Linked DNA regions of Cricetulus griseus. The protein of the gene in region 3 interacts with the protein of the main gene of each other region in a pairwise test. Links are inferred from orthologs where the notes say so. Each region holds a gene or a part of one and is shown on either strand. Other genes may lie near its edges.

Region 1 (3,500 bases), on a different chromosome or scaffold from region 3:
CTGGCTGCTGGCTTTGAGGAACACAAGTTCAGAAACTTCTTTAATGCTGTGAGTTCACCTGAGCCATACTGGCCTTCCACAAGGGCAGAGCAGACAGGAGCAGGCAGGCTGGAGGTCTTCGATCCACCCACAGCTGTGCAGCTTTGTTCTTAGTCCTCCCACCTGGGGCTGGGGCAAGGCCATTCCCTGCTGCTTGGGGGTATATGGGTCAAGGGGACCTCAGTTTGGAGGACTGTCAGCATCGTTCTGCCATTCTGAATATATGGTAGAAGGAGACTCAATGCCAGGCCCCTAGATGTGCCTCGGAGCCTCAACACTAAGACTTGCAATCTCAAAATGAGCTCTGAGGAAGTCGTGTGTGGGGTGGGGTGTGGGGGACAGGTGCTTGCTGGGGTCTATTCTGATGGTGGCAGCGTGAAGTTTTACAGTGTGGTAGAGCTGGTAGAGAAGGACAGCTCGGTGTCCAGCCTGCTGAAGGTGTTCAATGACCAGTGCTGCTCGGACCGGATCGTGCAGTTCTTGCGCCTGCTCACATCGGCCTTCATCAGGAACCGAGCTGACTTCTTCCGACATTTCATTGATGAGGAGATGGACATCAAAGACTTCTGCACTCATGTATGTCCCTAGGGTCGTCCTGTAGCCCCTGGCCTAGGCTTTGCTTGTCTGTCTCTTACACATCCCAGGACCACTGTTTCTGCCCAGAGGAACATCCTTGCAATGTCAGCTAGCAAGGTTAGCACCTGGAGGCATCTTCCATGAGTGGCCTGAGCGCCGAGGCTTGAGCAAGCAGCTTGTATTCCCAGGGAATCGCCTATCTGGAATCTCAGGACTGCTCTGCTGATAAGCAGCTGAGTGGCAGCTCCTGTCATGCTAACCCTAAGATGGGCTTTTGTTTAGATAATATTTATCTGAAGGAGTGGCCCACATGTAAGGAAGTGGACAATTATGGCTACTTGGATTTTTTTTTTTTTTAATTAGGAGGTACTGGGCCCTAAGTTGGACGGCGACTACCAGTAGGCACAAGAACAGCTGCCCTCTTTGGGGTACCTGCCACCATCTCTGCCTCTCTGTTGTCTCTACAGCAGCAGGACTCACACACAGGCTCTGGCCACTGCCAAGCACTTATACTTGGAAGCCTTTGATGACAAGGTCCTCTTAGTTCTAAGTTCTGATGCTAGCCTAAAAGATTCCTCCCCTTTTGCACATTCCTTAAAGGGTATGGAATAAAAATGGCTCAGGTTTGCGGCACACCTTTAATCCCAGCACTCGAGAGGCAGAGGCAGGCAGATCTCTATGAGTTCGAGGCCAGCCTGGTCTCCAGAGCGAGTGCCAGGATAGGCTCCAAAGCTACACAGAGAAACCCTGTCTCGAAAAACCAAAAAAAAAAAAAATAGGTTCAGGTTCATTTTCTGCAAGCCCTGTAGTCTCTGTGTTGCTTCCATGACAGATGGTTATCAGCACCTGCGCTCACATGTGCTTGGGAAGAACCCCCCCACCCCACCCCCAGCACAGGAGACCATGATCCTGAGAGCCAGGGTTTCACTCACCCTCCCCGCGCCCCTCCTAAGTGTTTCATTTTGGCATTGCAGGAAGTGGAGCCCATGGCCATGGAGTGTGACCACGTCCAGATCACAGCTCTGTCGCAGGCACTGAACATTGCTCTGCAGGTGGAGTATGTGGATGAGATGGACACAGCTCTGAACCACCACGTGTTCCCTGAGGCTGCCACCCCTTCCGTTTATCTGCTCTATAAAACATCCCACTACAACATCCTTTATGCAGCCGAAAAACACTAATTTTAGGCCATGCCGGAGCCTGTCATCTAATGGACTGCATTCTGAATGGAACATTCTGCCTTGGCAATTTTTTAATTGATTTAGACAACTAGAAACATACAGCCTTTTGGGTAAAGCCACTGAACTGAGACCTGTGCCCACTATGGACTGTCATGACTTAATAGGAATTTTAGTATTTATTTTGATAGATGATGTAATGCCTGCTAACTCTGGACCAGAAAGCCAGGAACCCTATGTATCCGTTTACTGTAAGAACCTCGTTGGACCTATTTATTTATCTGGAAGAGGTTCCTGGCAGTGTTGACATGCCGCTGTGTAAAAATGGGGAAATCCGGTTTATCCTTAACAGGGACAGTAGCCTTCATAGGGGGGGAAAAAAAAAAAAAAAAAACTCAGGTCAGCTGTCAAATTCAGGTGACTCACCAGACCTATGAAGAGTCCAGCCCTGCTATGTATGTTGGGTGTGTAATGGTAGACAACTGTCTGAATGTGAGGGGCTTGTGTGGAGTTTCCTTCATGATGGCTGTGCTTTCCCATCCATTGGGGGGTGGGGGGAGAGGGAGTGGGGGAGAGAAAACATGAGAGACTTTTATACCAAAGTCAGAAAAGGGTTTTAGCCTTCAGCATGAAGCTCAGGTTGTGAAGTCCTTCTGCCTCAGGGCCACAGCTCTTGACTTTGAAGACAGGCCCTTCAGAGTTTGGCTGTCAGCCCCACTTGGATAAGGCTTGACAAAGCCGAGGGCTTGTACCTGAGTCAGTGTTTATGTCTGGGACTGGGGAGCTGCATCTGCCCGCCCATCATCTCCAGTGAATTCTAGAAGTAGGGTCTAGGTAGTCAGCTGGGTAGGGGTGTGTACAGCCTGGAAACAGGAAGAGCAGAGCACAGGGTCTGCAAGGCTCTTCAGTTTTCCCCAGCCCAACTTTGTAGGCAGCTAGGCATAAAAGAACAGACAAGCCATACAAGTTGGCAGCAGGGACGGTCCCAATGCTGGCAGCAGCCTCTTCGTCTGCACATGCCCCTTAACAGCCCCTTACTCGCCTTGCTGCCACCCGAGGACACTGGGGGACAATCAGCCTCCAGCTGGCCTGAGGCACTAACTAGCCATGCCTTCCTCTGTAGGACAGCCATGGAACCACCCACTAGTACCCTTCCTTGGGTGCAAGGTTCCCTCTCAATGTTTCATTCTGCAGGGCTTAAGACTTGTGGTGCTACAGTGAGGGTCTGCCAACAGTCTGCACACAGGACCAGAAGGATCCAAGTCTTAAATCTCACATCTGTATCTTTTCTTCTGCTTGGTGTAAGCCAAAAACTCCCAGATGTCTGGGCAGTGTGGAAACCAAGGCCAACATTTAGATCCAAGGGCCCCAGCTACTGAGTCTGTCACTGACACAGAGTATATAAATCTGACCTTCATCTTTTGTTAAGTGTCCCACCCTGATCTGGGTAAGAGTGTTTGTGACTATGACAAGTACCCTGGAAGAGCAGGCACTTATTTCCGTGACTATCTTCAGCCAGACTATTCTTCACTTCCAAGCTGAATGTATGAACATAGGATGCCTGCCTGGGCTGCTCCAAGGAGTTCAGATGGGTCTGGGAACAGGACAATGGGAACTTGGGAACATGCTAAAACCTGGCTGACCACAGCGATTTACTGGCTAGGCTACAGCAACAAATCATGCTAGCACGCCCACTTTCTGAGTGAC
Region 2 (3,977 bases), on a different chromosome or scaffold from region 3:
TAGCAGCCCGGATCCCCTTGGGAACGCTGATCACACCCTGCACAAGATGCTGGCCCAGCAGCTCCTCAGCTGCAGCTGCCATGCCCAGCACAGCCTTGCCGAAGCCCACTAGGTAGAGGTTTTCTCGTAGCTGGAAGCTCCGGTCCCGCACCTTCAGCTGTTTGCCACTAGGATCCAAGGACAGTGCCCTTTGCAGCATGGGACCTGGCTGCACAGCGCCCACAGCACTCTCAAACAGCTGCCGTGCCTGCTCTGCCAAAGCCATACCACTGGACATCCGGGCCACCGGGGGCCCCCAGAAGAATGGACGTGACGGGGCTCGGAGAAGAGAGGGCAAGACCTGTAGGGCTGCAGCCATGCCCCACTTCTTTCAGAATAGCCTTGTGTTCATAGCTGCCTAGAGAGGGAGGAGAATGAGTGAGACCGCAGACAGAATCCCACCATCATGGCCACCCCTCTGAGAGCTTAGGGCTGGTGGACTCCATAGCCATTGCTGCAAGAATGAGCCACCTGAAATGAAAGCTGAAGAACTCCTGAAGCCTGCAGCAAACCTGATCTTACTCCAGTTCTGCAAGCCCAGCCCTGACGCCCAGTCACGTCCTCCTCTTCTGTAGGCCACACACCAGTCTTCTAGACACTCTGCCCCAAGTCCAAAGTTCCTATGAAGTGGACCCTCCTCCTGGGTCACCCTTTGGCTGGGAGTTAATCATTCACAAAGAAAGCTATTCCTCCCAGTGGTCTCCTGAACCACACTCTTTTTCCACACACTCTACTTCCAAGTCCTCACACCAAGGCAGTGCCCCTTTCTGGCATATCTGCCCTACCTTTTCACCCCTTTTACTGCTGACAGAGAGGGGGGGCTGTTGGTTGTCTCACCAACTGACCCCAAGCCCACTGACCTCTAGCCTGATCTATTTCATTAGCTATAAGACTATTCTGGGAATGCTGGGTCTATGCAGAAAGGCTGCAGGCTTATCAGTGCACACAACCTGAGGATTCTCAGCACACAGACCAGTTCAATGAGAGGTCCAGGCACAAATCAGGAGTAGCTACAAAATCTGACTCAAGGTGAGACTGTTTGACAAGTCCTCGGGTCATATGCAAGAGGACATTGCTATTGAGCTCAATCTACAGCACAGGAAAAGATGTCCCTCTACCCACACAGCTGGTCAGGGTCAGCCTTGCCAGGAACACCCCTTCCTGGCTGCGTGATAGCAAAACAAGCCCTGAGTTACACCACTCAGTGCAGAAACAGCCCAGTGCTGGAGCAGGCAAAGGCCAGGCTCCTAACTATGCCCAAACAATCATTTTCCCTATTGGGCAGAGTGAAAAACAGAGAGGTCTTGGGGTAAAGGTCAGGAAGCTATACAGGGTAAATACAGGGGACAATGAAGCCAAAGGACTCATCTGTAAAAAGGTATCTAAATTTGGGGACAGAGAGATACTGGAGACTGAACCCAGGTTTTGTATGTGACAAGTATGCACTCTACCATATCACTGAGACACATTAAAGCCCCTAAAAAAGATACTATAATAAATGCCTACCATTGTGCTGAAAGACAACTGTATCAGTAAGCGTGGATAGAAGAGGAAGTAGTCTAGGAACTGGGATGTTGGGGTTTTTGTTTTGGGTTTTTTTTTTTTTAAGTGTAATGTATCTTTTCTCATTTGCAAGATGAGAGGTGGGATGAAATTAAGCCTAATTCTTTCAGGGAACTTGAAAAGTGTTGTTCTGTGGGAGAGATCATGTCTATCATGCATGAAGTCATGGAATCCTCCATGGCGGTGGAGGGCTGATACTCCTGTTTGCCTGACACCTCAGGCTTTCTGATGCTCTGTCCAATGCAACAGAGAAAACTGTGGGTAACAATTTATTCACTCCTAAATACCGTGCAACTTCCAGAGACCTGTGCCGTTTAGCGGTATAGTTCACAGCTAGTTTTTAAAGAAGAAAAAGAAAAAGAAAAAAAACTAGACGTATTGTGAAAAAGAATACAAAGGGCACCGGCCATGGGATGTCTGTAAACATGCCCGGTTTTCATGCAAGGGATCCATCCATCCCCAAGGCTTGGAGCATCTTAGCGTCTAAAACATACAATACTCAGCCCTAGGTGAACTTTGTCTATCTCACAGAGCAGCAAAAGCCTAGAGGATCTCTATTAGAATCCAGGACGAAGGAAAGCTCAAGGCCAAAACTGCCAGATAAAATGCTGGGCATTTGGTGAAATCTCTATTTCCAATAAGTAATTTTTCTAGTATAAATATGATCAGTACATTTGGGATTATTTGTAACTAAAAATTACATTGTGGTGAGCTTAAATTTAATTGGACGACTTGCATTTTCAGCTGTCAAATCCCCAACTCTATTTAAGACACTACACCTTCCCAGCTGCGGCGCACTCGGGCTGCTAAAAGAGGAAGTGCGAAGAGCAGCCTTGACTCCTCCCGAAACGAAGTGGAGCTGACATCACCTCCGGATTTGGCCAACGGCCAGATGACCGGAAGTGACGTTGCCCGAGGCCTGTAATCTTCGCAAGGAAAATGATTGCCGCGCAGTGTTGGGTGTCGCAAAAATTAAAGGACTGCTTTCGCTTGGATTCGCCTCCGTCTGGGCCAGGAATGACTTCCAAGGTCCGTGTACGCCCTTGAGACGCAAGCTTACCTTTCTGCCGCTTCCAGCGCTGAAGACCGGAAACATTCTGGGTGGGTGGGGATTAACCCGGAAATGGCAGGTCGGGACTCCTGGAGACCAGGTTCGTGGATTAGAGCTTTGCCTCTCTGACCGCCAGAAAACCTGAAAAGAGGTGTATGGAGCCCTCCGGTTTCTGTATTCCTGCAGTGGATTCTCGGTGGTTTGTAATGATCCTTCCCTCTTCGTCCTGTTAGATAAAAATCAGTCATTAAGTACACCCCGAATTCCTGTTAGATGCCAGACACCGGGCTGAACCATCAGAGAGCTGCAACCCACCCCTCTAGAGAGTTTAAGGTCGTCCTTGCCCCTCCGCATAGTTAAATTCCATGACAATGCATTGATGTTTACCACACTTCCGTGAGCTACCATATACAGCTAATTCAGCGAAAGATTTCTGTTCCATGATCTTTGAACACAACAAGTGCTAACCTCCCTACCTTGTGTCCACTATGACCCAGTCAAAAATAACTATTGGCTGAACTCCAAAAACATGAGTACACTTTTTCTGATGGAAAGAATTTCTTCAAACATGTTTCCTTAAAAAGTTTTGTTTTGTTTTGTTTTGTTTTTTGCCCTGCCCCCCACCACACACACACACGGACACACTGTGTAGCCTAGGCTATATTTCTTCAAGTTTATGATCCTCTTACTCAGCCTCCTGAGTACTAAAATTGCAGGCATGTACTACTGTGTAATTGAGAAGCTTAATCACCTATTCACCTGCTACTCTGAATCTTGCTTCCTGACAGTTCTTCCACTCAGCAATATCTCTTTTCCTGTTAGGAAATCCCTTCCATTTTGCAACTGAAGACAATGCTGTTCCATGTCAGTCTGGGTAACCCAGTGGGATCCTGTCTCAAAAATATCTTTAAAAAGAAAAAAGAGGAAGAAGAAGAAGAAAGACAGGAGCTGAGGCATGGTCCAGTAGTTAAGCGCACTCACTGGTTGTGGGGCTGGAGAGATGGCTCAACAGTTACGAGCACTGACTGCTCTTCCAAAGGACCTGGGTTCAATTCCTAGCACCCATATGGCTGCTTACAACTGCCTGTAACTCCAGTTCCAAAGGATATGGTACCTGCACACAGACATACATGCAAGCAAAAAACACTAATGTACATAAAAATAAATCTTAAAAAGAAGGAAGAATGGGGGGGACAGGGAAATTCCAGTTTCAAATCAACTCAATACCATTCAGGAGTTTACAGTCCAGTGGACTTAGTCGTCTTCCTGTCAAATGCATCTTGTGAATAGTTTGGGAATGGCAATGGTGTATTTAAACTTGGGT
Region 3 (3,500 bases):
GGAGTGAAAAGAAGGGGCATGGTATGGGTAGGGTTTGTTACTTTGTGGGATGTTTTCACCCTTTCCTTTTAATCCCAAAAAGATATTTGTTCTGTTTACACAATGAAATCATGAACTAAGTAGGGACATAAGGACACTGGCAATGGAGGAAAGATGTAGTGCACAAGGTGGAGTTTGGGTAGGAAGGCCCATTCCCTCAAAACCAAGTGAAATACAAATGCAATTAGGGAGAAAGGGGGAAAACATGGCTGAACACATTTTAAGTTATAAAATGAGTTCTGTGATCAGTAAACAGTACCCAAAAATAAATCACCATTTGAAAATATGCTAAACACAGATGTAGATGTACCTTAGTTCAACTTAGAGGAAAACTGTTGTGTCTGAGTTTATCAGTGCCAACTAATACAAAATTACTACAATTAGTCTGATCTGGACATGGAGCTCAATTGGTAGGCACTTCTCTAAGCAAAGCCCTATCACTGATACCCCAGAAACTACATAAACTTGGTGTGGTGGTGCACATTTGTAATCCTAGCACTTCTAAGGCAGAAGCAGGAGAATCTGAAGGTCAAGGCCATCTTTGACTACATAGCAGGTTTGAAGCCAACTTGAGAGATGTGAAACCCTGTCTCAACCAAGAGTTCAAAAGAGGTGGTTAACTTCAAATAAATATTGAGGAAAGATCTTCTAGATTTGCTGATGTATTGACAGATTTAGGAGATGAATCAAGGGCGACATCAAGGTTTTTACCTAAGCAGCTAGAAGCACGGCATGACAATTTCCAGGGCTGGTGAGACTGAAGGACAAGCAAGTCTAGGGGATAAGTTCAAAACTCAGGCTTCAACATATTGACCTAAAACTTAAATCTTGTTATTTTTTCTTTTTCCTTCTACAGGGGGTTGAACATAAGGTCTTGGAAACATTAAGCAAAGTCTACCACTGAGTCACAACCTTAGCCTTTTTTATCTTAGAGACAAGATTTTCATAAACTGAAAGCTGGTATTGAACTGACTATGTAGCCCAGGCAGACCTTGAACTTGTAATATTAAGGGAATCTAATACAGAAAGGCTCAAGAAAATATCTTTTTCTTGAAAATACAGATATACAACTAATTTCTTAAGTAACTTTAGAAGTATGAGTCTAAATAATAGAAAATAGAAAAAAAAAACCTTCCATCCCTTGAAATCTCTCTCTCTCTCTCTCTCTCTCTCTCTCTCTCTCTCTTCTCTCTCTCTCTCTCTCTCTCACACACACACACACACACACACACACACACACACACCTACCTAAAAATACCAAGAAGCCCCCAAAAACCCCATAGGGGTCACTTTGGCCTATGGGCCTCAACAATAATGAGTTTATTTCACAATGGCATAGCCATTACATGTTTTACCTTAAATCTGCTTGAAAGCAAATATCAATTCATTTAACTAGTACATTAATACATTACAAAAGACACACAGCTTGTCTTGAGGAAACTTGAAAGAACAGTTCACACCAAGCACATGTACTTTAGGCATCTCTCAAAGTAAAAAACAGTACAGCTCTTTAAGTTTCTAATTTTGAATGTTCCCTTTATATTCTATACACCTAAAGTTTTAATAGTTTTTTTTTAGATTTAAATCCTACAGGTTACATTTAAAGAAAACCATATGCAAAGGAATCACTCAATTGCTCACTTTGCAGAGTGTCAATACTTGAATATTGACTGCTCGGAACAAAATTATGACTATTTGCATCATTTGATGGTCCAGGCTCATTTATCAGGCCATTTTCTACACAATTGAAGTTTGATCTATCAAATGCATCTGACTGTGCAACAAAAACAGAATTAGAACTGGTGCCTGCTGACATATTGGCAGAAGACATCTGATGTAGTTGTCTCAGGTCTCTTTGGTCTAACCTTGAATTACATGAGGCATTTTCAAGATTGATGCTCATAAGTCTTGGATTATCAGTGTCCCCCATGTTATCATTGCTGGTTGTCATCACATTCACAGGGCGATTAGATAGCATGTTGACATCAGAAATACCATATAAGTCAGCTGGTGACATGGATAACGCTTCCATTCTAGCTAGGTCATCAGTATAAAGGCAAGCATTAGAAGCACTTAAATCACTCACACTAGACCCTTCTAGGAACGGAAGGATACTTTGTGAATTAGAGGGAAGTGTTCCTGTTGAGAAACTACTCAATGTGTTTGTATTGGCTGAGTGTGAGGTGGGGTGGCTCACTGATGACCAGCTTGAAGGTGGAGAGACCACTGAGGCTATGGCTGGTGGGTGATGTGGCAATCCACTTGAGATGGGCACAGATGAAGAATAGTAGGGTTCAGTTTGACTTGAAACTCCTGAAGGCCTGGGCATTTCTGGCATAGGTGTACCATGAGAAAACAAGTTTGATTCTATAGAAGAAAAATGTATTTTATAAATTAAGATGAACAAATAAATGTAAAGCATTATTTCTGAATTGAGATTATAAAAACACACTAAAAAATTTCCAGGGAACTGATACATTTCAAATAAAAAAAAATTAAAGCACAGAAATTATTACATGAAATCAAAACTAAATTCATAACATGTAAATTGCTTTATAAACACATGAAAATGATTTTTAAAAGTTATCTTGGTATATGTAATTTTCTTCTAGTTAAATATGAAAATACAGCTTCTTGAGTCATATAGGTGCATTTTAAAACATAGAAGATAAATATTGGAATTTCAGGAAATAGGTATCCAACGGCCTACATCATGTTATAGTCTCTACTTTCAGGAGAAAATGGAGAGATGGAGAAGACATTCATTAGAAAAAACTGAAAAATACAGTTACTAAGACTAAGATATGACCCTAAACTACTATAAAATTCCCTATCATAAAAACTTATTTATTGACATATTACACAAGTACTATGTGAACCAGGATAAACCAGGTTAAACCAGGATAACCAGGATAAATTTAAGGAAAGGAGATGGAAAATTTGTCAGGGGCTCATAAAATATCTTCTATCAAAGGCCAGATAGTTTTAAGATTCGTGGGGTGAGCAGCCTCCACTGGAATTATTCAGCTCTGTTGTTGCAGTAGAAGAAAAAAAAAAGGGAGTCTAGGTCTGGCATGGACTGTGTCATGGTCAGCATGCATGAAGTCCTACTGCAGCACTATTAAAAAGGCAACAAGAGACATTATGTAACAAAGGAATGCAGTTATGTTCAAGTGAAACTTATTATAAACAAGTGCCTACTATATCCACATCATTTCTTCCATGATACAGTGCAATTAGTAAAATTACTAGTTGTGGTGGTTTGAATAGGTATGGCCCCATAGACTCATACATTTTGAATACTTGGCTCATAGTGAGAGGTATTAAGAGGTGTGGCTTTGTTGGAGTGGGTATGGCCTTGTTGGAGAAGTGTGTCACTGTGGGAGTGGGCTGTGAAGTCTAATATGCTCAAGCTACACCCAGTGTGACACCCAGTTGCTTCTGCTGCCTGTGGATCAAGA
Region 4 (4,252 bases), on a different chromosome or scaffold from region 3:
AGACAATTGTGAACTGCCATGTGGGTGCTGGGAACTGAACTCAGGACCTCTGGAAGTGCAGCCAGTGCTCTTAACTGCTGAGCCATCTCTCCAGCCCCAACAGACTGATTCTTAACTGTCTCAGAGAGAGCTGCAGGGAGGCAAGGCCTGATTCAGGCTATAGGATCTGGCCTATAGACGCAGGCCTCTGTTCTAACACATCGTATACACTAAATTCCAATTCCATGTTGGCATTTCTATGTGGGTTGAAAGCAGATCATATTATTAGAAATCATATTAAATGTGCATAAAGTACACTAATTTGTTAATTAAGTAAAATTAAATATTTTACTTAAAATCTTTTACCAAGTAAAATCTGGTCTATGAATATGTTCAATAAAAAAATCATGCATGCATTCTTTAATTCTTTATACCTGATGCCTCAGAGATATCTTCTGGTCTGCCAACATATACAGGTACAGGATGAGTGGCTGACTGGGGAGCCATGATCCTTTTCCATTGACATAGGTTGACAAAAAGTATTTTTTCTTTTGGTTTCTAGGAAGTAAATAATTTTGATATTGTCAAATGGCTTTTTTAAAATAAAATTTGGTAATATTCCAAATGCAAGTCATCACATTTTTTTTCAGGCCTTCCCAAATGCTAGGCAACTGTCCTTGAAATGCACTCTCTGGAACCCACACATAAAATGTAATGAAACTGTTTTTTAAAAACTTAATTCATGCTTCCCCCTCCAACGCCCCGACCTCTCCTGAGAACCCTCATCCAGTGGCTGTTGGAAGCAGAGGCAGACACCCACAGCTATACACTGAACTGAACTCTGAAACCCAGTTGCAGAGAGGGAGGAATGAAGATCAAAGGGGTCGGAACCAGGCTGGTGAAACCCACAGAAACATCTGGCCTGAACAAGAGGGAGCACATGGACCCCAGACTGCTGTCTGAGAGGCCAGCATGGGACTGATCCAGACCCCTGAATGTGGATGTCAACGAGGAGGCCTCGGCACTCTTTGGGGCCCCTGGTAGTGGATCAGTAGTATTTTTCCCTGGTGTAAGAAGGGACTTTGAGAACCCATCCCATATGAAGGGATACTCTCTCAGCCTGAACACATGGGGAAGGGCCTAGGCCCAACCCAGCATGATGTGTTGGACTTTGGGGAGCCCCATTGGAAGGCCCTACCATCCCTGGGGAGCGGAGGGGGGATGTGGTGAGGGGCTGGGGGGGCTGGGGGAGGGGAGAGAGAGGGAGAAGGGATTGACATGTGAAGCAAGCTTGTTCCTAATTTGAACTAATAAAAATATTAATTCAGTATATCACTATTTTTCTACAGGGCAATAAGGCCTCATTTGCATATTTCTGTATTTCTCATTTTTACTCCTTCAGTGAAACCTTCCACACTGTTTCAGTTTCTGTTTAGAGAGGCAATTTTAATAAACTTCTCTTGTGTTAAAGTAGCACTAGAGAAGGGTAAGGTATCTTGGAGTAGTTTCATTGAACACAGATCATCATTGCGCCAATTCTACCTACTAGGATCTTGGTCTGTAGGCAGAATTGTGGTTCTGGGTCCACACAGAGCTTTTTTCCATCTTTTAGCTCCTGTTCAATAAAGTTCTTGTAGCGCTCAGGATCATTTTCAGCCAAATCGTCGAGCATATTCCAGAACTGGGAAATCTGGGTGAGAAGGCCCTTTGAGGATGCCCTCATGATTGGTGATGAGATAGGCCTCCAGAACCTGTGGAAAGACACGACTTGAGAAAATACATGTCTGTGTGGCTATGGCCTTACTTCCTCTTTCAGGAGAGGAGGGGGCTTTTGTTTTGGGGAAGCTCTTTACTGTTCTTACTTCCTATGTCTAAAAGATTGTGTAACCACTCTGCTTTACCTTGGCTCTTCTACAGCCTGTAAGTCTAACCACTTCCTAAATTCCCACCTTGTACCTGTACCTCTCTCTGGCCTTCACAAACACAGTGGGAACAGAAAGGTCTTTTTAAGTCTTGTTTTTCCTATTGATATTGTTCCAATAGTTGAATATTGGCTGACTTGGTGTCTCCCAGCCCTGAAATTATGAGTGGTGTGTGTGTATGTATGTGTGTAAGAGGGAGAGGGGAGGGAGAAAGAAAGAAACAGAGGCACATTAGTCCTTAGTATAATAACTAAAAGTAGGAACACTGAGCTGGGCAGTGGTGCATACCTTTAATGCCAGCACTCTGGAGGCAGAGGCAGGTGGATCTATGTACGTTCGAGGCCAGACTGGTATACAGAGCAAGTTCCAGGACAGGAAGGGTTACATATTGAGACCTTGTCTCAAAAAAACTGGGAGTGGGGGGTGTGAGGTGTAGGGTCACTGGAGCCAGTATGCTTAAGTTCTTCCTAACTACAGGCAGCTATATTGCATTGAGCAAATAATGTATATATATACACCTATTCTTCTCAAAATGAAGACGAGGCCTAAGAACGCCAATACTTAAAGCGGGAACACTTGATAAATATTATGTACGAGTAGTATTCTAAGATCGTATCATCACTCTCCTCCCGCAACGGAGAAGTGTCCCAAACGGTCCACAAAAATATTTAAAAAAGAGATTTAGAGTCTTTAAATCGTGCATTAAGATTAGATTTAATAAACAAAGAATACACAACTTATCCCAGTGTGGGGAAACCCACCTCTTCAGTCAGTGTCTAGACAAACCGCGACTCCCGTTACCATGGTAACCAGGTCCGGTACAGCATCTAACTGTGTCCGGGGAGTGCAAAGTAGAACGCCGGCTCCATATCCCGTTCCGGATCTTTTCTCCAGCGCCGGACTGGCTCCTCAGAGGGGCCGTCCCGCTCCCTCTCAGGAGGGTGCCGGCTTCCTTCCTGCACCTGTCAGCTTCCCCGGAGACCCGTGAGCCCGCTCACAGGGAGTCTCCCGTGGGGAGGAAGCGTTTCTCGGGGGCACGACTTCCGGCCCGGAAGGAAGCCGCCGCCTTTTCTCCCACCCCGCCACGCGAAGCTGCGGCGCACGGTATGGGTGTGTTTGTGTGTGTTTGTGTGGGGAGGGCGTTTCGAGGGAAGGCTGCCGGGAGCGCCGAGGCCGCGGCGGGGCAGGGAGCCCGCTGACAGACATGGGGGTGTTTTTTCCGACTTCCCCTTGGAAACCTCCAGCTTCCCCTCAGGCACCCTAGACACTTCCCGGGTCCCAACGGAAGGCCACGTCCATGCCCTGTGTCCCCATTCTGTCCCGGGAGTGAAACCGAGCCGCCGGGCGCTGTCCCAGCCCAGCGAGAGCGGGGAATGCCCGGGCCCGCCCGCAGGCCGCGTTCCGCGCCTGCGCCCGCTCTGGCCTTGGTCCCGGAGAGAGAGCCGCCTGGCGGGCTCGGCTGGGGGAAGGCAGCCGTAGCCTGGGCCTCGGGTGAGGGCACTGTAACCGGTGGGAAGGCTGCGTTTTCACGAAGGACTCGGGTGAAGCTGCAGAGCTGCCTTTCAGCCCTGACTCCTTGGCTTCCTGGGTCGGAGGAGATCTTGTAATGGAGTGGTTCTTCGTCTCACACTAACAAGATGCCTGATTTCCTCAGGATCGAGGGGTGAGTGAGCATCCGGACGGTGGCACCAAGCCCCTCGTAGCTACACATGTGAATATCTTTGTCTTCTGGGTTTCGGAAAGTTCCAAACATTGTAGGAAACAAAATGTCCTGAATAGAGATATTTAGGTCATTAATTTTTTTTTTTTTAGAACTCAGTATTTATTGCTGTTGACATATGTGATGTTGATACCCGCAGATCTAGATGTTTGCTTAGTTGCAAACTGATTTTGGGGAGTTTGAGATTTGATTTCTAACTTGGATACTGATATACATCCTTTGCCTGGGTCTATTCGCCCTGGGGCCGAGGGACTTAAAGGATCTTGACTTTCAAAATAGGAGTGGGGATAGAGTCTAAATTCGGGAATCCCTACAGGTTCAAATAACAGCCAACTGAAAATGTTTGGGTAATCAGATTGCATCTGTACTTATCATGTACAGACCTTTTCCCCCCTTTGTCATTATTTCTGATCTGCATAGTAACATTTTTACATAAGAGTTGCATAGTTTTAGGTGTTAATAAGTAAGCTAGATACCCTACCCACCCTAAGTGTGGAAGTGCATGTATGTTGTCTCTGAATGTGGGAGGTGGAGGCAAGAGGATCAGGAGGATCAAGGCTCACTGAGGCTAGGGGAGACCCTGTCTCAATAAAAAGTCATAATTTAAAACACACAGGAGTGTAGTTTATAT
Region 5 (4,259 bases), on a different chromosome or scaffold from region 3:
CTACCTCTAAAAATGCATGGCATGTCACACACAAATACTCTGCACAAAAGTACGGGAACACAGCAACAGGCGGTCTTAGCCAGGAGTTTTAATTTGACTGCCCCATTTTAATGTTACTTTAATTAATTTTAGTGTTGGCTCCCGACAGAGTTGCTTTTTATATGTGTTGCATAGAACCAGCCCACTTATTTATTTGTGTTTGTAGTGGAAAATTATAATCAGTTTATAAACCTCTCCCAAGCTTTTTTTCTTAAGGGACTGCAATTGATAAACGAAAACAAAAGTTAGTGAATGTTCAAGGTACATAGTTGTGGCCAGCTGGGAACTGAACCCTTGGTCCCTCACAGCTTAGTCTCTGGAAGTCATTCTTCTACCTTTTCCCCCTCCCAATTAATTGTTCTCAATTTGGAAGGCTCCAGCTATCCCTGAGTATTTGGTGGAAGCAGAGGGAGAGAAAACAAGCCCCAAGTCTGGTTTGTGCAGTTGAAATTCTTTGCCCCCTTTTATTCTCCTAAAGCTTGAACCCCGCTGTTGCTTCAGCTTGGCCCCCTAGTGCCTTTGCCCAATTCTTTCTCAGCTTGTTTTAGGTTTTGTGACTATACATTTTGGAGACCAATCTGAGGAGGACCATACGATGCTGAAGGAACCCCTCTTGAACAAAGACCATGGAACTCAAGGTTCCTGCACTACAGGAGGCACTGGTGGGCAGATGGGCATTGCAAAATGCAGAATTGAATTGTAACTCATCCTTCTGCTCTACCCTGGAAGACTCTAGTCCTAGAGCCAGGGAAACTGGAATGGAAAATTAAAAGATAGTAGCATGGAGTCACTTCTAGAACTGAGGTCAAACTCTCCTACTTGTTCTCACCTGAAGGAATCCTTCTAGACTCTCCAAGGCAAATCCACAAATAAGAGGCGATGAGGGGGCGGTGCTACAGAGAAATGCTTATATTCCCCTTATAGTTAAATATCCACAAAACCCGGTCAGCAACCTGCTTTCCGAACTTCAGGCCTAAATACCCTAACTGAGCCAGAAGGCGGGACTGGCCTACCATTTCACCACACATCAGGGAGTGTATATCTTCAGCAGTTGAGCTCAGCACTCTGGGGCTCTAGAAAACCTTTCTGAAGAAGATCTAGCTGTCTTTGAGGAGCTGAGGAAGTGGTAGCAGCAGCTCTATCAACAGAAAAACTGTGGGCCTTTCACTTTTAATTTCAGTACACCGGTTCAGAGGAGATGGGCTTGTTGCCTTTGTACGTTTACCCAGTGAGGGGAAACACCAGACTCAAGTCCACTGAATTCCCACTGCTGAGAGGGGCACGCAGAGAAGCCAGCGGTTCCCTTCTGAGGAAAGTGGGGAAGAGGCTTAAACTGGGGGCAGCCAGACTCAGGAAGGAGCCAGGGTGACAGAATTAGGTAGAAACTGGGGTCTGCGTACTTTCAGGGCTCAGACCACCACCACCACCACCACGCCCCAAATAAAAGCATTTCTGAGAGTAAAAGAGAACAGAGGGAAGCAAGAAGGCCCAAAAAGCTTTCCCTTGTTTCACAGCAGGCCGAGCCTGCCTAAACCTGGAAAAGTACTTGTTAAGTTTTCCCCAAGGTAGGCCAAGTTTTATTTTTAATTTCTTCAAATCACAGCAACTTGGGGAAAGGAATTAAAGGACCAAAGAGGTAATTCAACAAAAAGAGTTAGCTGGTCTCGCTTTGACGACTTCAGGAACCTTTTATCTACAGTTTCTACAGTTCTTAAAAGGCGACTTTTTTTCTTTTTCTTTTTGTTTTTTTTGTTTGTTTGTTTGTTTTTTTACCGAATTTTAAGTCAAGTCTTCAACCCAGCTACAATGTCCGAGCTCCTTTAAGTTAAAGATGTCGCCTTTTTGCTCCCGTGTCCCGGGCCAAGCCAAGATTCACCTAGAAACAGCAAAGCACTTGGGCCCTAACTGCTAACCCTCACCTATTTATCCCTACCCCTAAATGAGAGCCCCCCTAAAACCCGCCTCATCATGGTGCATTTAAAAGCGGTCCCTCCCCAGATTTCGTTTTACAAATAGTTTGTAGAATTGACGTTAAGTTTCCCCTTCAGCCCAGAGAAGGCACCAGGAGACAGGGACATACAGCCTGGATATTTGGCCGGCTCCTGGGTTCCACCTGCATCGGGTTCAGACTCTGTAAGAGACTCACTTTTCCCGGAGAGTAAGAGTCAGTGTCTGCTGGGGATGTAGGCCCAATCAGGTCAACTTCCTACAAACGTGCCCTCGCCTTCCAAACGGATCCCCAAGGGCACTCGAAGTTTCCTCCTTCGAGGCTGACCCCAGCCTAGCAGACGCTCTCACCTGGCTTGGCGAGCTGCGCGGGCAGCGTTCCGGGCTGGGGCTCCGCGGTGGTCCAGCGCAGCGCGGCAGCTGCAGCCAACTCGGCGGCGGGACGAGGCGGCGCCGGCGGCTGGGACGGCTGGGAGGCTGGCGACGACTGCGAGGCGGCGGCAGCGGCGTCCCCCGGCGGCGGGGGCCCCGGCAGAGCCCGCAGCGAGTCCGGGATGAGGCTCTCCAGGCTCTCGTTGGCCTGTTGCCGGCGAAGGGCCACCTGAGCCGCCATCACCCGCTGCCGCTCGATGATCAGGATGCATTTCTCGCAGGTGCAGTCCTTGAAGCGACAGTAGCGCTTGTGGCCCTTGAGCCAGGACAGCACCCCGTGGTTCCGGCAGCGCGCGCACTTAGGCGTGCGCTGCAGGGGCGCCCGCGGTGGCTGCGACACCGGGCCGCCCATGTACAGGTAGGGGGAGCCGTAGCCGTTCATGCCCGGGGCTCCCCCCGGCCGGCGGCAGGAGCAGGGAGGCAGTAGCTGGACCGCAGAGCTGGGAGGCCTGCTCCCGGGGGTCTCGGAAGATCGGCGGCAGCCGGAGGTACCGCAGCGGTCTCCCCGGCCCCGGAGGCGCTCGCAGCCTGAACCGCCTGGCTGGTGGCACGCGGGCCGCGTCTCTGTCTGCTGCCCCTGAGGGCGCAAGCTCCACCCGCTGGTCCTCCTTAGCCCAGACTCTCCAGCCGCTGCAAGGAGCCGGTGAGAGCTCTGATTAAGGTCTGAGCCAGCTCCTCTGCTGTTCCCTTCCTCTCTGGCAGGAGCCCGCACCTCCTCCGTCGCCCTCCCCCACCCTGTCCCTCCTCCCTCCCATCGCCACCCCCACCCCCGGGGTCCCAGCCTCCAAACACTCCCCACACACTCTTTCCTCCTCCCTAGCACCCCTCGGGTTCCTGCACCTCACCTTCTTCGCCACCTGCAGCCAACCGGGCCTCTCTGGCGGGGGCGCTCACAGCCCCCCTCCTCCATGCCCACCACTACCCTTTCCCGAGGCGGGAGGGACTGAGCCGCAGCGGCACACCCGGCTTGCTGGACGGGGGAGGGGTTGGGGGGGGGATAGCGGGAGGGGTGGGTACTTGTAAGCAGGCAGGCAGGCCTCTCCGCTACCGACTCACCGAGCTCCAGGCCTGGTCTGGAAGCACGGAGTCCTAGACCCACACTTGGCCTCAGCAATTCGGAGCTTGCAAGGGAATTGAGGGTGCACGGCAGGTCGGCCCCAGGCGGACCAGGTTTCAAGTACCCGACAAGAGGAGTGAGAGGAGTAGTGATGGTTCGGAAATTTGGGGGACTCTTTTCTTCATTTCGTTTTGCAATCTGGTTTCTCTTTCGTTGCTGCAGAAGAAAATTAATTTTTAAAAAAATCTGTCAAGCTTAAGGAAGACAACTCGTTTGATTGGGTAATTTTAATTTCCTACCACCTCATTCTGTCTTTAAAATAAACAACCACCTCTGCCCTAAAAGACCTCTGCCTTGGAAGGCCTGGAAGTGCTCTCTCGGATGTTTCCCTTAAACATGGTTTAACTTTCCGGGAGCGGAGGTAGAAGACACATTAGTGGCCCCCAAGTTACCCAGCATGATCTACTTGTTCCCGCAACGGTCACTGAATCAACAACCAAGCTCCGGAATTGCCCAGTTCAAATCCCCACAGGCACTGTGATTTATTTTCGGATAAGGGATGGATCCTACTCATTAAAAAAAAAAAAAAATTCTTTGAGAGTGGGAAGAGGCTCGTGTATAAGATGGCCGCATAAACCTTTTTCTTCTTGATAGCATCAACTTTGTTTACTATTCTTTGCTTGTTTAAAGTTTGTCTAATACCGGCTACCACTACATTCGTACAGAGAAAGCTGCCTTCTCCCACCCCACCAAGAAAACAACCAAACAAAACACAAGGTACATC
Region 6 (2,548 bases), on a different chromosome or scaffold from region 3:
GATAACTCCAAGTCACACAGGGCATCTTGCCACTGATTTACAATAGAAATATAACTTCAATGTTTTCAACTATGTGATTTTTTTATTTTTATATTAAAGCTCTAACTAAGTCTCAGTTACTAAACTTTTAAAAAATATAATTTGGATCTGATGAAGAGGACTTATCTGAGCTAAATTACTTCTAATAAGCTTACAGAACAGTAAAGTTCAGAGAACCTAAACATGGTTGACCTTTAACAGAACTGATTTTTTTTCTGACTCCAACAGCTAAGCAGCATCCTGCTTATCTGTACTACAAAAGTCTTGCCCCATTTTCTAACTGTTTAGCATCTAAGTCTTAAAACCTATATCACCAGAGGCAAAGCAATAAAAGTCAAACTAAAACTCATTTCTAGTCTATTTACCTAAAAAAAACTCTTATAAAATCTTATGGAAAAATTAATGTATAGAAAGCAATTTTATTTGCTGTCAGCCAAAAAGTAACTACTAATTCCCTGTTAAAAGAGGAAACTGAACCACAGAGTTATTTAAATGAAAAAAAAAAAAAAAAATCAGTCCTGTAGTCTTTTAATACCAAGGCATAAATCCAAGATGGTATTTAACATGAAAACTATGGTTCAAAATTTGTGTTCATAGTTCGAGACTAAAATCTTATCACTGCAAAATCCCCCATGGCTTTTGGCAAAGACATTAAGAGAGACTTTAGTCTTTTGGTCATTGAAGCTGCTACTAAGTACAAGTCTTTAAAAAGGTGAAGAAGATGGTGAGGAAGTGAAGGTTAGGCAATTATTTCACATACAAATAAAATGTAGTTTGAACAGTTATTTCTCCTAGAGATCGCAAGCTCTAAGATTTCCCGCCTTCCATTCTATTTTGAAGAGAACTCAAACTTCTTTAAGTTCCTGTGATGGGCATAGCCTGGCAGCAGCTTCAATTTTCTAGGCTAGTTCTCAACCCAAACAATTAAGCAACCTCACAAGAAATAATCATACATGGCAACAGGGCTACAATTCAGGGTAGTTAGTTCTTCCATGCACAAACATTTCAGGAGAAAACCCATCAGTTTTAAAGATAACCACCAGGATTCAGATATCCTAATACACTCTACAGCTAAGTTTTGCTTTATATCATCGATGACTAAAATTAGCAATAAGTTTTGCAGTGAGGTTTTTTTTTTCTTTTGCCTGCAACTATATACACATTGCAAAACTACTCTGTATCACATGATTTTAAATGAAATAAATATAAAAATGAACCACACAATCAACACATTAACTTTAATACTCCACATTATTTATCTTGATCACAATGGTCATAACTGCCTTGTCAACAATCTTGTGAGTTGAGGAGCTGATTTTCATTCTCATATCCATCAGGCAGATAGGCTCTCCTCAGCTGGTCTGACTTAGGTATGGATCCTCCGTTCTTCACATGTCGAGACAGGAATGCTCGGACTGCTGGGTGATCAGCCTTCTCCAGGGGGATGTTGGCTTCCAGGCACATTTTCACAAAGTCCTGGATAACACTGACTTTCTCTGTTTGCGCAGTACTGTTGCACTGAAGAGATGCAGTAAGCGGCCTCTGCTTCTTTCTCACATTCTGCTCTTCAAATTCTGCCTTCCTCTTGGTGTGAGTCTTTGATTTGAGGTGGTCACTAATGGCAGACTTGCGAACATGATTCAGAACCACATTGCAAGAAGTGCAGAAGAGTTTTCCCCCATCTTCATGAAGCTCACCTCCAAATTCAGTGACTCGGTCCAGAGGGGTCACATACAGAGCAGTCTTAGAACGGTTCCGAGCAGGTGGTGCTGTTACTACAAAACGTTCCATTTTGACTGAGTAAGGCTCTTCTAAGACAAAAGAAAGATATAACGTTAGTGCTATGACAACAGCAAATTCTAGAAGTGATTAACAATAAAAGGTAGGGTTGTAAATGCTTTTTTAAGAGTAAAGATTTGAAGAAAACCAATCCCCCAATTCCAAACTTAATTCACTGATCCCTAGCATTCCCCAAAACTCTTTAATTCAATTTGGTAGGTTGAGGTCTTTTAAATCTGTATCTGAAATATTCAAGGAAGGGAAAGCTAAAACAAATTAGCAGCAAACAGCTAGGTCAATTCCTTGTGGTATATGCCTATGTGCACATCTTAATTTTTTGAATAGCTTCTCTAACTGTACCCAGAACTGGGATTACAGATACATACTGCTGGGACCAGCTTTTACACAGATGCTGGGGATCTGAACTCAGGCCCAAAGACTTGTACAGGAAGTACTACACCTACTTACTACGCTAACTTCCCAACACTCTGGCTTTTATGACAAACTAGATTTCTAAGTAACTTAAATTATTCTAGACATTGCTATCTTTTAAAAAACCCCAATAACAGTAAACAGTTAGACTATTAATAATACTAATATCGTGTAGGGAGACACCATAATCACGCCTCTACGGGTCATTTGGCAATAATATCACCCAAGTAAGATGTGTTCAAGTTAAAGAGCTTCTTGCTAGGAAACGGATTTTGAGACCTCAACTATGTACGAACTT
Region 7 (2,603 bases), about 26 Mb from region 3:
TGCCCCACCCTCTAGGCTCCCCACTATCGCCCCCGTCCCTGAAACTTGGAATTTCTCAGAGAAAACGGACAAGCTTCCTCCCCTCACAGGGCCTGGACGGGTCCAGTACTCACCGCCTGCCCGCTTATCTTCCGGGCTGCTATGCAGATGGCTCTGACTGGTTTGCATAGGAGGCTCATCACTGGTCGGGCTAGTGACCCCAGGAATAGCTGGCAGGTCCTTCGGGGGTGTTTTGGCCACAGGTGAGTTCCGACACTCCATCAGGAATTTCCGGTCATAGATGATCCTGGTTCCTGGTGGGGGAAACATAATAAAGAGGTTAATAGGGTCACCCAGAACCCCCTGCCTGTTGTCTTTTCCACTTCCTGGAAGTATGGCCATAGCAGAGGTAACAGGTTCCTTTATACAACCCTAGATCAAGGGTAGTAAGGCTGACCAAGGGACCTGACCAACCTGGTCACAGCCCTACTCCACTGCCCACTCCAACACCACTTGGGGTGCCCCTCCCTCACAGAGTGCTTATTGGCTACCAAGACGCACCTTTGTTTTCTCAGAGCTCTGAACATCCTATGCAATCTCTACAGACCCCCCCAGCTCCTCCTGTCAACTACACATGACAAGGAGATCCCACAGAAAGGGGGGCCTTGTAGTCATCACACCCTAACCTGCAGAACCCCAGTAGGTGGCTCATCCAGAACAGACAGTGGATCACGCCCAGCATCAGGAGACTTCTCCCTGCCCAGTCTTTGCAGAAACAGGAAACACTCTATATACTCCAAAAAGGTCTTAGGCTGGGCCCTTCTCCAAACCTCCACTATATCTACCCGCATCACCCCTGTAAGGGCTGACATGAAGGCCATCCTCCTACCCAGCCTCCTATCACAAGTTAATCTTATTCCCCAGTGAGGGCCAATCTCCGTGAACTGTTCTCCATCAGTAAACCATACTCAGAACCCTTCACCTCCACCCTCGCAGCTTCCCAAACACCATATAAGGGAGCATTTCCCAAAGTAAAGGAGCAAGACCATTATGGGTGTGGTGGTTTGAATGGGAATGGCCCCCACAGACCCATGTGTTTGAATGCTTGGCCCATGGAGAGAGGCACTATTAGGAGGTGTGGCCTTTGGAGGAAGTGAGTCACTGTAGGGGCAGGACTCGAGGTCTCGTATGCTCAAGCTACACCCAGTATGCACACAGGTCTCTTCTGCTGCCTACAGATCAAGATGTAGAACTCTTAGCTACCTCTCCAGCACCATGTCTGCCTGAACACTGCCATGTCCCACCGTGATGATAATGGACTGAACCTCTGCACCGTAAGCCAGCCCCAAGTAAATGTTTTCCTTTATAAAAGTTGCCTTGGTCAGGCAGATCTCTTTGAGTTTGAGGCCAGCCTGGTCCACAAAGGGAGTTCCAGGACAGGCTTCAAAGCTACACAGAGAAACCCTATCTCAGAAGAAAGAAAGAAAGAAAGAAAGAAAGAAAGAAAGAAAGAAAGAAAGAAAGAAAGAAAGAAAGAAAGAAAGAAAGAGTTGTTGTTGTCATGTTGTCTGTTCATAGCAATAAAAACCCTAACTAAGACAATGGGAGACCCATGAGGTGAGAGTAAGCAGACGAACTTATCCATGGCTCCCTGCGGCCTCAAACACAGCAGCATGGCATCAATGGTTTATTTTTAACCCCTCAACAGCACATACTGAATGCCTCCTTTTCAGCCAATCTCAAGTCTTAGGTTCCAAGCCTCTAGCAGACAATGGCATCCAGCTGGAATTTAAAAACTGTCTTTACATTTCTATTTATAGTTATCATCTGCAGATGACAAATCTGGTTTCTCAAATGCAGTAGTGGCATCCAGTTTCTTCTTAATAGAGACTATATGTCATAAATTGCATATTATATAATGCTATATACCACACATAATAAAAAATAAATTAAGGGCTAGCTGGGTGGTTCAGCTGGCAAAGGCACCCACCTGCCACCAAGCCTTATGACCTGAGTTCAAAACCAGGAATCCACATGATAGGAGAGAACCAACACCCACAAGTTGTCTTCTGACCCCCATATGCATGCTGGGGTATACATACACATACACACACACACACACACACACACACACACACACACACACACCTATATTCACTCACTCACCCTCCCTCCCTCTCTCAATAAATAATTTTTTAATTCAATCAATTTGGGCTTGAGATTAGGACAGAACTACTGACAGCCCCTGAAATGTCCACACACGTGCTGCTGCCACTTGTCCCACTTATTTAAACAAATGCCTTTCTTGGCTTGGATGATGGTTTGGTGCTACCTGGAGAAGGATCTACGAATACTCTTGTTTTTAAATGAGTAAGTATACAGTAAGCCAAAGTAAAAGAATAAATAGCTAGAGAGAGACGGGTAGACACAAACATTATTAAATCAGCCAAATGTTCAGCAGAAATTGACTTTAAGGCAGCTAGCTGGCATTCCCAACAGAGTCACAGCTGAAGCAGAGGAAACATCATCAAACCAGATGTTCATGACATCCAGCAAAAACCAACTAGGGAAGTTGAGGCAGGCCGCTGGAGTTCCTGACTGAGCTTCCTCTCCACAGAGGAGAT

Evidence for each region.
Region 1: the proteins of Rel (region 3) and Otub2 interact in binary tests that used the Homo sapiens proteins (3 or more experiments, as listed by UniProt). The two-hybrid records come from large-scale screens. The link is inferred for Cricetulus griseus from reciprocal best matches to the Homo sapiens genes REL and OTUB2.
Region 2: the proteins of Rel (region 3) and Glyctk interact in binary tests that used the Homo sapiens proteins (3 or more experiments, as listed by UniProt). The two-hybrid records come from large-scale screens. The link is inferred for Cricetulus griseus from reciprocal best matches to the Homo sapiens genes REL and GLYCTK.
Region 4: the proteins of Rel (region 3) and Pih1d2 interact in binary tests that used the Homo sapiens proteins (3 or more experiments, as listed by UniProt). The two-hybrid records come from large-scale screens. The link is inferred for Cricetulus griseus from reciprocal best matches to the Homo sapiens genes REL and PIH1D2.
Region 5: the proteins of Rel (region 3) and doublesex- and mab-3-related transcription factor 3 interact in binary tests that used the Homo sapiens proteins (3 or more experiments, as listed by UniProt). The two-hybrid records come from large-scale screens. The link is inferred for Cricetulus griseus from reciprocal best matches to the Homo sapiens genes REL and DMRT3.
Region 6: the proteins of Rel (region 3) and Cggbp1 interact in binary tests that used the Homo sapiens proteins (3 or more experiments, as listed by UniProt). The link is inferred for Cricetulus griseus from reciprocal best matches to the Homo sapiens genes REL and CGGBP1.
Region 7: the proteins of Rel (region 3) and Eif4ebp1 interact in binary tests that used the Homo sapiens proteins (3 or more experiments, as listed by UniProt). The two-hybrid records come from large-scale screens. The link is inferred for Cricetulus griseus from reciprocal best matches to the Homo sapiens genes REL and EIF4EBP1.

What each region holds. Positions count from the first base shown.
Region 1 is NC_048598.1:102,678,348-102,681,847, reverse strand, and holds part of Otub2 (ubiquitin thioesterase OTUB2), read left to right. Parts: coding exon 1-48; intron 49-420; coding exon 421-615; intron 616-1,589; coding exon 1,590-1,796; 3' UTR 1,797-3,500. UniProt on the Homo sapiens protein: Hydrolase that can remove conjugated ubiquitin from proteins in vitro and may therefore play an important regulatory role at the level of protein turnover by preventing degradation.
Region 2 is NC_048597.1:214,362,164-214,366,140, forward strand, and holds the start of Glyctk (glycerate kinase), read right to left. Parts: upstream 2,801-3,977; 5' UTR 2,663-2,800; intron 398-2,662; 5' UTR 359-397; coding exon 1-358.
Region 3 is NW_023276807.1:83,034,704-83,038,203, reverse strand, and holds part of Rel (proto-oncogene c-Rel), read right to left. Parts: intron 2,407-3,500; coding exon 1,640-2,406; 3' UTR 1-1,639. UniProt on the Homo sapiens protein: Proto-oncogene that may play a role in differentiation and lymphopoiesis.
Region 4 is NC_048597.1:162,383,639-162,387,890, reverse strand, and holds the start of Pih1d2 (PIH1 domain-containing protein 2), read right to left. Parts: upstream 2,801-4,252; 5' UTR 2,663-2,800; intron 1,731-2,662; 5' UTR 1,703-1,730; coding exon 1,526-1,702; intron 538-1,525; coding exon 414-537; intron 1-413.
Region 5 is NC_048596.1:35,690,677-35,694,935, forward strand, and holds the start of doublesex- and mab-3-related transcription factor 3, read right to left. Parts: upstream 2,801-4,259; coding exon 2,338-2,800; intron 1-2,337. UniProt on the Homo sapiens protein: Probable transcription factor that plays a role in configuring the spinal circuits controlling stride in vertebrates.
Region 6 is NC_048597.1:28,615,514-28,618,061, forward strand, and holds part of Cggbp1 (CGG triplet repeat-binding protein 1), read right to left. Parts: intron 1,851-2,548; exon of another isoform or gene 1,848-1,850; 5' UTR 1,831-1,847; coding exon 1,327-1,830; 3' UTR 1-1,326. UniProt on the Homo sapiens protein: Binds to nonmethylated 5'-d(CGG)(n)-3' trinucleotide repeats in the FMR1 promoter. May play a role in regulating FMR1 promoter.
Region 7 is NW_023276807.1:56,580,683-56,583,285, forward strand, and holds part of Eif4ebp1 (eukaryotic translation initiation factor 4E-binding protein 1), read right to left. Parts: intron 294-2,603; coding exon 114-293; intron 1-113. UniProt on the Homo sapiens protein: Repressor of translation initiation that regulates EIF4E activity by preventing its assembly into the eIF4F complex: hypophosphorylated form competes with EIF4G1/EIF4G3 and strongly binds to EIF4E, leading to repress translation.